Linked DNA regions of Macaca mulatta. The protein of the gene in region 2 purifies or fractionates together with the protein of the main gene of each other region. This does not show direct contact. Links are inferred from orthologs where the notes say so. Each region holds a gene or a part of one and is shown on either strand. Other genes may lie near its edges. The genes, in order: NCBP1, EIF4A3 and SRSF1.

Region 1 (3,322 bases), on a different chromosome or scaffold from region 2:
TAAATTTTTATTTTTAATCTCTTCTATAAATGTGATTTCCTTTTACAATGAAAAATAACATTTTTAAAAACTAAAACTAAAGAAACGTATTGTTTCCTTTTATGTATAAATGTCCCAAGCCAAGATACCTGAAATATGACGAGGAAAAGATTCTTTTGTTCACTCTGAGCAGATTCCACTTTTTCTTGAAGTCTTTCTATTTGTTCCTCAAGAACCCCATCTTTCCTGTCACTGCTTCTGTCATCATCATCACTTCGCTACAGAAGGCAAAGGAACAAAAGGAAAATACCATTTTGATTCTAGTGTGTTAAATCTCCTCCAGGGGAAGCATTTTATTGTGTCTGGCCAAATGTTAAGACTTATATTCTACAGTGAAAGTAGCCCCCACTCTGCCACCCACACACATATACCTCAAAGTCCTGTTGTGGTTCAGAGACACTGTCTTCTCACTCAGAAATACCATGGGTTCTTATCTAGACCAGGGAAATTTAGTGGCACTTGTCTTGGTAACAACATGGGGGACTTGGCTACAATTTATCACTATTTGACCATTTGAGCAGTAACAACAGGGAGACGGCCTGCTAATCATTAATCTCCTAATGGGCCATATAGAAAAACTGAGCAAGTCCTACGGGCCAAGCCTGCTCATTCTTGTTATAATTTAGAAATGGCTACAGCCGACATAAAATAATTCAAAGTGGGCCATTTAAGACTTTCTGCTGGCAATGATGGGCTCAATACACTCCCGTAAAGCTTTAATAATTCCCCCCCTCCAGCTCACTCTGAAGAGTTTATAGAATTTTTTTTTTTTAAAGGAAAAGAAAAACAAGGCATGGTTTATTTCCATTTTACAGAGAAAGGAACAGGCTGAGAGGTTAGATGACTTTCCCAGCATCACCCAGCCAGAAAGTGGCAGAGCCAGAACGTGGCTCTAGGTGTTACATACCAAGGTACTTTCAGCAAGAAGTGGCATCACTGAATCTAGAAAGCCTGGCAATTCTTTGAGGTAATACTTAACTGCTAAGGCCCCAGCTACTGATCTCCTCCTCTCCGCTTTAAGCAAAATTATCAAAACCCTGCTCTCCGATTTCACAGAATCTTACTTTTCTCTCTATAAACACAGCCTATTTATGAGGTCTGCTTTATGTTCTAGACACGTGGGTACATGACTCTCCTTTCCTAACACCACTCAAAGGTAAGGTTCTAGAGCACTACTACCTAATAGACCTTTCTTCAATGGGGCCAATGATATAAATATGTGCGGCCTGTTAGGACGGCAACGACACGTTACTACTGAGCACCTGAAATATGGTTGTGTGACCAAAGAACTGAATTTTAAATTGTATTTAATTTTAACTAAACTAAAATAGTCACATGCAGCTAGTAGCTACTGTGTCGGACAGCACATTTCTAGAAACAGTGTGGCATGAGAGAAAGTCTCTGGAGTCTGATAAACTTGTGTCAGAACCTAGCTCTGGTCATTTACCAGCTATGCAACCTACTAGCTTCTCTGTGTCTTACTTAACTTCTACTACTTAACTTCTCTGTGTCTCACTTTATAACATCTACAAAATGAGATGACACCATTTACCTTACAGTATTTTAGGTCTGTGTTTATATCCATATATGTATACATATATGTCTACACGGAGACTTGTACTCAAACTTGCTAAAGGTTCCTGTAGGGCACTAAACTCAACTTTTTTTTTTCACCTTCTACTATGATAAATACACATAACACTGGAAAATACTTTCATAAGGAAGAGTATCATGTTAAGTCACTCACGGCTTCCCTCCAAAATGGCTAAAATACTAAATTAATACTACGAGAAGTATTATGTTAACTTGGGAATGACTGCCCCATTCCTCCTCACAGTATGGGGAAAGTGTAAGTATCTATAGTCTTCTCCCTCTTCCCCCAGAGACTCCTATAGAAATACAAGTGTCCTCTTCCCTTCTGCTACTTCCCTTGTGCAAACATGAGGCTGACCCAGAGATGGTAAACTATGGAAAGTGAAGTTTGTGGCTTCCTGAACTGGTTCATCATGCAGTGTAACAGCACACAACACACTACCTGCTCCCTCCTCCTCTTCTGCAAACAGCTCTGCATTAATTTGGGCTCAGAAAAAAAATGAAATACCATCACAATAATGAACTCTGAATCCTCTCCAGAGTTTCTGGTATATTTTCTTTAACTATTTACAAGTTTACACAAAACTTACCCGTTTGTGTTGCCTAGCAAGTTTCTCTTTAGCTTCTTCCAGCTCTTTCTGGATCTTCAGGACATGTTTGTTCATCTTACGAATTGTAGAGTGCAAGATTTCCCAAACGAACAATCTTAAAGAAATATGGCATTTGGTTATTGTATGTCAAGCTATGGTTATAGAAAATAAAACCTTTCAACCTTTATGATCTATTCATTCTTAACAGCTGATACAGCCTTCTGTCCTCTGGGCTGAATTAGTCATATTTCTCCAGCAATACTTATGAATTGGTCTTTTATTGTAAATTGTGCAAATATCCATCTTCACACCCATTAGATTCAGGTGAGTCCCCTGAGGGCAGTACTGTGTAGTCATTTTTCTTATTTCCATCCCTTACTAGAGGTATATACTCACTGAATTGAAATGGCAAACTATGATGGACACTAACATTAAAAATGGAAATACATTTTTCCTCTCCTAAATGTAAACACTATGTGTAGAAATTTTCTCAAAATGGTGACCTGAGACTGATTGTACATGCTTTACACTATTTACACTTTAGCACACACACAGGCAATTATTCTCTTGGAACCTTTAAGAAACTCATTAGTTGATAATAGGTATCAACTGATAGGCTCTAAGAATGAGATAATTATATGTCAGCTTTCTTACTAGCAAATACATACTAAGATCACTTTGTAGGTGCTTCAAAATGTTTGTTGCATAAGTGTTTCTTTTCTTTTCTTTTTTTTTTTTTTAAAGTAACTTCTTAGCTACTTTTGTGTCTATAAACTAGGTCTCCTAACCCAGCACAGAATAGTACAGTTGGCTCTTGAACAATACAGGTCCGAACTGTGCAGGTCCATTTACACATGGGTTTTCTTCCACCTGAGACAACAAGACCAACGCCTCCTCTTCCTCAGCCTACTCAATGTGAAGATAATGAAGATGAAGACCTTTATGATGATCCACTCTCACTTCATGAATGATGTTTCCTCTCTTATGATTTATTGTAAGAATACAGAATATTAACACAACACAAATATGTGTTAATCGACTACGTTATCACTAAGGCTTCTGGTCAACAGGCTACTAGTTAAATTTTCCATGCAGTTAAA
Region 2 (2,829 bases):
CTGAGAGGATCGCCTGAGCCCAGGAGGTTGTGGCTGCAGTGAGTTGTGATGGTGCCACTGCACTCCAGCCTGGGCGGGAGAGCAAAACTCATCAACAATGAAACTCTCTCAAATTAAAAAAAAAGATTAGAAAAGTGAGTGAGATGGGCCGGGTGCGGTGGCTCACGCCTGTAATCTCAGCATTTGGGAGGCCAAGGCGGCTGCACCACGAGGTCAGGAGATTGAGACCATCTGGCTAACATGGTGAAACCCCGTCTCTACTGAAAATACAAAAAAATTAGCCGGGCGTGGTGGCGGGCTCCTGTAGTCCCAGCTACTTGGGAGGCTGAGGCAGGAGAATGACGTGAACCCGGGAGGCGGAGCTTGCAGTGAGCTGAGATCGCGCCACTGCACTCCAGCCTGGGCGACAGAGGGAGACTCCTTCTCAAAAAAAAGGAGACTCCTCAAGAAAAAAAGAAAAATTAGAAAAGTGAGTGAAATGACCCAAGACTACACAGTAAGTTACTAGAGAAGCTGGTGGCATCTTAGAAATATAGAGTTTATGGGAAAAGTTTTAAATTTTTAATGAAAAAGACTTAGAACAATGTATTATTTACATGTAAATAAGAAAAGAGCAGAATCCCCATATCCTCTTCGGAGGGAGACAGGAGGCCGTTTATGAGAAGAGAGTCCATATAAACCCCATTAAATAGAAGCTGGACCTAAATACTTCCAAACAGGAGTACAGAACAGGTGAACAGTCTTCACTCATCCCCTCGATCTGCTTCAGATCAGATCAGCAACTGAAAGTGAAGAAAGAAACAGATTAAGGAACAATACAAAAAAAAAAAAAAGAAAATTTGTAACGTAAATTTAACTAAAATCTCACAAGAGACTTCTCAAAACAAAAAACAGGCCAGGCATAGTGGCTCACGCCTGTAATCCTGGCACTTTGGGAGGCCAAGGTGGACAGATCACTTGAGGCTAGGAGTTCAAGATCAGCCTGGCCAACATGGTGAAATCCCGTCTCTACTAAAAATACAAAAATTAGCTGGTTATGGTGCACGCATCTGTAATCCCAGCTACTCAGGAGGCTGAGGCAGGAGAATTGCTTGAACCCAGGAGGCAGAGGTTGCAGTGAGCCAAAATCATGCCACTGTACTCCAGCCTGGCTGACAGAGCAAAACTTCGTCTCAAAAAAAAAACCACAACAACAAAAAAACAAACTCAAGTGCCCCAAACTAAGAATAGGGAAGTTCTCTCTACAATTCCAGTAGAGCTGGACGATTTCCTACCGTTCATAGGCATCTCATCGATCTGAGTGGAATAGTACTGCTCGATATCTCTGAGGATGCGGATGTCATCGTTCTTCACAAAGTTAATGGCGACCCCCTTCCGGCCGTATCGACCTGATCTCCCGATTCTTCAGGAATAAAACAATATCACAGTCAGTATCTACAGCAATCAAGATTTAGTAAATGTGTCACAGAAGTGAAGTCAATGAGAGCTTGCATCCTACCTGTGTATGTACAATTCTCTGTTATTGGGGAGATCATAGTTGATGATGAGGGACACCTGAGGGACATCCAACCCCCTGGCCCAGACGTCTGTAGAAATAAGCACTCGGCTGCAAAACAGAAAGTGTGTTTGAGGCGATTAAATTACTCATGCAAGTTTAAGACTGGACTTGCTTCCATTGCTAATTTTGAGGAATCCTGGCTACAAGTTCAAAAGATATGAGATTCCCCCTCACACCAGTCTGTCTGCAAACATGAAGCCTCAGGGACAGCACCAGAAATCCCTGTGCAGAGGGGCTGTTGCTGGATTTAGTTACTTCGGTCATGTGCTCCATCAGATTAAAAAAACAGACATCTTTTACTACACTACCTTTAACTTGTTTCGTCGGTTCTAAACCAATTAATTGGGAAAAATATTTTACTTTTGCCTAGCAACAAATTAAGAACAGTATCTTTGGCTGGGAGTGGCAGCTCATACCTGTAATCCCAGCACTGCCAGAGGCTGAGGTGGACGGATCACCTGAGGTCAGGAGTTCGTGACCAGCCTGGCCAACAAGGTGAAACCCCGTCTCTACTAAAAATGCAAAAAAAAAAAAAAAGCCATTCCAGCTACTCAGAAGGCTGAGGCACGGGAATCACTTGAAACCAGGAGGCAGAGGTTGCAGTGAGAAGATACCTGACCACTGTGGAATTAAACTAATTGAAACGATGAACAGAAAACCCGTACTTACTGGAAAGAAGACACACACTTGTAACCAAAGTGCCAACCTGGCTAGTTAAGGATCATTATCACCTCAACCGAAGTATTACAGGAACACAGCGAACGTCTCATTAACTGGAAGGTTTTCTGCTCACCCAGGGCCTCAGCTTTCAGAGCAGGAGCTCGTCATCTCCCCAGCTCTGGGGCCTGCCTCAGGCAGTGCATATGAAGTGCTTAGCACACAGTCTAGCAAACCCTGACCGGCAGAGCCACAGCACAGCGGACCCACCTGGCGCCCGACCGGAACTCCTTCATGATGGACTCCCGCTCTTTCTGGGGCATGTCTCCGTGCATTGAGGACACAGTGAAGTTGGCTTCTCTCATTTTTTCTGTCAGCCAGTCCACCTACAAATCCAATCAGCAGATGCTACTGCAAGTTCGTACACCAAACCAGAGATGTGCATTCGGGATTTTACCCCCATCATTTGCAGAACCAGTATCAATATTCTCAAAGTAACTGCTCTTAAAACTCAGGATCATCCTAACTGGATGCACAAACTTTTTCCCAGAAAATGTTGGGGTGCACTCACAAAACCCTCTTACTTCATTTTCTCCACATAATGACTCTATGGG
Region 3 (4,437 bases), about 38 Mb from region 2:
AAGGTGAGACTTAAAAGTATTCCCAACTAGATTATCTACACCAATACATTGGAACTCTATATTTTGCTTTCATTTTGTCTTAAAAAAATGAAATAGCAACGCTCTATCAGTCACACAGAGGACATGCAGATTTAGCAGTATTGATATTATACTCTATCTTGTTGGATTTAAAGACACCCTGTACCCACATGTACACCAACAGCAGGTCACACATTAACAGTTGTAACTAAGCACTGTGACAAATTAGCCAGTTCTTCCCACATTAGTCCCTATTAAAACAAAAATGGGGGGAAGGGAGCAAAATAAGTTGCTACAAAATGGGCAATATAATTTTGCCACAATTGCCAAGGTTTAAAGAGCAAAGCAATTGTAGCTAAAGATAACTGAATAAAATGTTTGCAAGTGTTTTAAGGAAAACGTATATAATCATTTTTAACCCCTGCCTTTTAGTATAAGGTCAATACTGCCAATTTCATCTGTGACAATAGCACTTGGAGTCATACCATTGCCTCCATTATTGATCTGATCCTCCTCAATCCTCCTTTTGACAATCCTAAAATGATTGAAATGTGCTCCACAATCCTTAATCCAAAGCATTCTTAATCCATCTCTTCAGATATGTCTACAGAAAGACACATGAAAAGCAAGATAAACATAAGAACTTCCCCAGGTAAGATAACCACAAACACCCCCAACATCCCAGTTCACACAAACCAGGGCAGAATAGACATTTACACAATATCACAGTCTGAAGAGTATGGAGTTAACTAAATTTAAACAATCCTGTCTATGACATCACTTAAAATACAATTTATCGAAGACACGAGGGGAATGTAGATGTTAGGAGCAAGGGGATATTACAAGAATGCAATTCAACACTTTAGCCCATTCTGAACAAAACAGTTTGAATTAAAAAATGAAAAGATTGTACTGAATAAAGGAAAACTGTATACAACATGGGTTCTACAAAAAGTGTCACCAATCATCTTATGTACGAGAGCGAGATCTGCTATGACGGGGAGAATAGCGTGGTGATCCTCTGCTTCTCCTTGGGGAGTAACTGCGACTCCTGCTGTTGCTTCTGCTACGGCTTCTGCTACGACTACGGCTTCGAGATCGAGATCTTCCATAACTTGGACTTCTGGGCCCATCAACTTTAACCCGGATGTAGGCAGTTTCTCCCTATTGGATAGACAGAACTTTCCATTGAAAGATCTAAGCTTTCATCTATCTTCAGGCATGCTGAATGCATACAATGCAACTACAACCAGAAATCTGGCAATTTACTTGGACACCCTTGCCTGAATTCTTACCTTCAAATTCCACTGTTAAGACCACTGTATCCAATTCTGGTCAAAGAAAAGAATAAGCGTATAACCTACCTCATGAGATCTAAACTTAGTGTTATCCAGTTTTCGAACTGCATAGGTCATATCTTCTTTCCGTACAAACTCCACGACACCAGTGCCATCTCGGTAAACATCAGCATAACATACATCACCTGCTTCACGCATGTGATCCTTTAAATCCTGCCAACTTCCACTTGGAGGCAGTCCTGAAAAAGTGATTTTTTTTCTTAGTATCAATTATCTTAAATTTCACGTTAAGCTGGTAAGGTACATTAGAACAAAGAGTACTTTAAAATACTTAATAGGTGTACTTAAGTGATACCAGGTAAAGAGCTGGTAAGATTCTGGGATCCAGAGTCCAAAATTATTTGTAACGGATCTTCGTATCTAGTACCGCAACCTAATTTGGTAAATCACCACAGCAGCAATCCTCGTTTATTAAATTCACCCAAAAACTAAAGCAATTTAAGACCTAGCATGAAAAATTTGCAATTGTTAAACCGATCATGCAAGACAAAAATTTTAGGTAGCTTCCGTCCCTTCACATCAATCCACACAACCAAGTACACTCACCAGAGACAACCACTCTGTTTTCAGACCGCCTGGATGGGGGGCCATAGCGACCTCGGGGAGCTCCGCCACCTCCACCCCCGCCGCCGCCTCGGCCTGTTCCACGGCCGCTTCGAGGAAACTCCACCCGCAGACGGTACCCATCGTAATCATAGCCGTCGCGACCATACACCGCGTCTTCCGCGTCTCTGCGGGATCGCAGAAAGTAAAAGGCATGAGAAAGACCAGGAGGAGAAGCTCGCTCAGTCGGGAACCCCCCGCACATGCGCACCCAACGTGGAAGAGCCCACATGCGCCGCATAATAGGAATGGCCCCTCCCCCACCCAGAAACACGCCAGGCTCCCAACCACTACACCAGCCCTCAGCGCCTCAGTTTCCCGCTCCAGCCTGCGAATGGGCTCCGGGGACGTCCAAGGCGAGGCGCCAGAGAAGCCACACCAACTCAGCTCCTTACTCGACTCCTGCATGGGCGATACAGTCTCGCCCCAACCTCTCTAAGAGCCCCCGCTTCCCCGTTCTCTATGTTAAGGCCTTGGAGCCTTCCCCGACTACTCGGACCTATTTCCTCAAGGCTGCAAGCCCCATGCCGCCTCACCGCGGGTCCTCGAACTCAACGAAGGCGAAGGGCGGTCCCCCGCGGCGATTCTTGAGGTCGATGTCGCGGATAGCGCCGTATTTGTAGAACACGTCCTCAATGTCCTTGGTTCGGATGTCTGGAGGTAAGTTACCCACGTAGATGCGGCAATCGTTGTTCCCTGCGGGGCCACGAATCACACCACCTCCCGACATGGCGGTGACGAAAAGCGCGGACTCGAGAACAGGCCTTCCCACCAAGCCTAGCGCACCGCAGAGCGAGCCCGCAGCGGCACCACGTCTCCCGCGGCCCCTCCAAAATGGCGCCTTTATCAGCTCGGCGCACGGATATGGGGGGGAGACAGAGGAAGAGAAGCGGAAGGAAACAGCGATTCGATCCCAACACGCACGCGCGGGAGCGCAACGGGTGCTGCGAGGGATACGCGCAACGCACGCGCACGCACGCGCGACGTCACCCTCCGCACGAAGGGGGAAAAAAAGTCCCCCGCGTTCCCCGCTTGGGGTGGTTTGCGAATAGAGTGAGCAGCCGTTTGGTAAAAGTTAAATAAAGAACTCTCGTTAAAGGAGCTAGTCATCCAGGTCGAGTCTTGAAGGATAGTCAATTTCCCCAGGAATGAGGAGCTTTGAAAGCAACTCGGCGCCTTCAAAGGACTTGGTGAAACCTAGCCTAAAGCCTTGTCCCACCATGCTCTGCGGCGATAACGGCCTTTGGCGGGAAAGAGACTCGGAGGCGGGGCTAAAGGGGGAGGGCTCGGGCCGTTGCTCCGGAAACCCGGGTATCTTCGTAGAGTGCGTCTAGTCCAGAGCTGAGTTGCCGGTGACTGAATAGAGAGCTGGGGCGTTGGTTTGTCTTCCCGCCCCTGCTGCGAACAAGCTGTGGCTGCTTAGACAGATGTGTCTAATTTAGCGAAACCGGTTTAGATTCCTTAATCCTTTTCATTAAGAACCATTCCACCTTCTCGTCAGAACTTTGCATAGCTCAGTTCAGCACTCTTTGTGCTAGTCGCAGTGGGCCCGTACCCCGACCTTTCAACGTGGTACCCGCCAACCAGAAGGGGTAACAGTACTGCTTCTGGTACCCACACCTCTTTATCTCTTGTTAATCGCCTATCCGTGGGACTAGCGCAGATTGCCTGCAGAATGAATTGTTTCTGTTGTTTCCTTTTAAAGAACGAGAAGGAAGAAAAGGTGCGTGTGTGCAGTCCTTTTTTCAAAAGTTTCCTCTAAAAGTTACTGAAATTGAAAATACCGGTCCTCCCAGGTAATAAAATGGACCGAAATGGATGAGAGCCGTGTCCACTAGAGACCGCGGTTGCTATTCAGGACTGTGATCTTATTTGCCTGCGACATTGGGAGATAACATTTTACATTTTTTTTCGACGTCTGCAATCTGGATTTTTATGTGAAATCCTGGGATTTTTAAACGTCGCTAATGAATTCAAATTAAAATTAGGCTGGGCGCGGTGGCTCACGCCAGCACTTTGGGAGGTAGAGGCGGCAGATCACTTGAGGTCAGGAGTTCGAGACCAGCCTGGCCAACATGGTGAAATCCCGTCTCTACTGAAAAAAAAAAAATTAGCCGGGCTTGGTGGCGGGCGCCTGTAATCCAGCCTACTCGGGAGGCTGAGGCAGGAGAATCGCTAGAACCCTGGAGGTGGAGGTTGCAGTGAGCCGAGATCGCGCCATTGCGCTGCAGCCTGGGCTACAGAGTAAGACTCCTCCTAAAAAAAAAAAAAAAAAAAAAAAAAAAAAAAGGAGGGGGAAACAACAACAAAATCAAATCCTGCAGTCATAAATTTGCGATAACAGATCTACACCGTGAATTTCAGGGATAATGTTCTTCATGTTATTTACAGCAGTCCCTCTCCGCAAGGATGTGAGGCAATTTACAGAGATACCATAAAACATTATTAAAAGTAGATG

Evidence for each region.
Region 1: the proteins of EIF4A3 (region 2) and NCBP1 purify together in Homo sapiens (co-immunoprecipitation; 3 studies listed by BioGRID and IntAct, with this or other methods). This does not show direct contact. The link is inferred for Macaca mulatta from reciprocal best matches to the Homo sapiens genes EIF4A3 and NCBP1.
Region 3: the proteins of EIF4A3 (region 2) and SRSF1 fractionate together in Homo sapiens (co-fractionation; 4 studies listed by BioGRID and IntAct, with this or other methods). This does not show direct contact. The link is inferred for Macaca mulatta from reciprocal best matches to the Homo sapiens genes EIF4A3 and SRSF1.

What each region holds. Positions count from the first base shown.
Region 1 is NC_133420.1:60,734,576-60,737,897, forward strand, and holds part of NCBP1 (nuclear cap-binding protein subunit 1), read right to left. Parts: intron 2,338-3,322; coding exon 2,223-2,337; intron 258-2,222; coding exon 129-257; intron 1-128. UniProt on the Homo sapiens protein: Component of the cap-binding complex (CBC), which binds cotranscriptionally to the 5'-cap of pre-mRNAs and is involved in various processes such as pre-mRNA splicing, translation regulation, nonsense-mediated mRNA decay, RNA-mediated gene silencing (RNAi) by microRNAs (miRNAs) and mRNA export.
Region 2 is NC_133421.1:89,821,444-89,824,272, forward strand, and holds the end of EIF4A3 (eukaryotic initiation factor 4A-III), read right to left. Parts: intron 2,602-2,829; coding exon 2,486-2,601; intron 1,607-2,485; coding exon 1,499-1,606; intron 1,403-1,498; coding exon 1,275-1,402; intron 783-1,274; coding exon 766-782; 3' UTR 548-765; downstream 1-547. UniProt on the Homo sapiens protein: ATP-dependent RNA helicase. Involved in pre-mRNA splicing as component of the spliceosome. Core component of the splicing-dependent multiprotein exon junction complex (EJC) deposited at splice junctions on mRNAs.
Region 3 is NC_133421.1:51,982,036-51,986,472, reverse strand, and holds the start of SRSF1 (serine/arginine-rich splicing factor 1), read right to left. Parts: upstream 2,913-4,437; 5' UTR 2,710-2,912; coding exon 2,516-2,709; intron 2,108-2,515; coding exon 1,923-2,107; intron 1,556-1,922; coding exon 1,383-1,555; intron 1,200-1,382; exon of another isoform or gene 1,183-1,199; coding exon 988-1,182; 3' UTR 623-987; coding exon of another isoform or gene 584-622; 3' UTR 1-583. UniProt on the Homo sapiens protein: Plays a role in preventing exon skipping, ensuring the accuracy of splicing and regulating alternative splicing.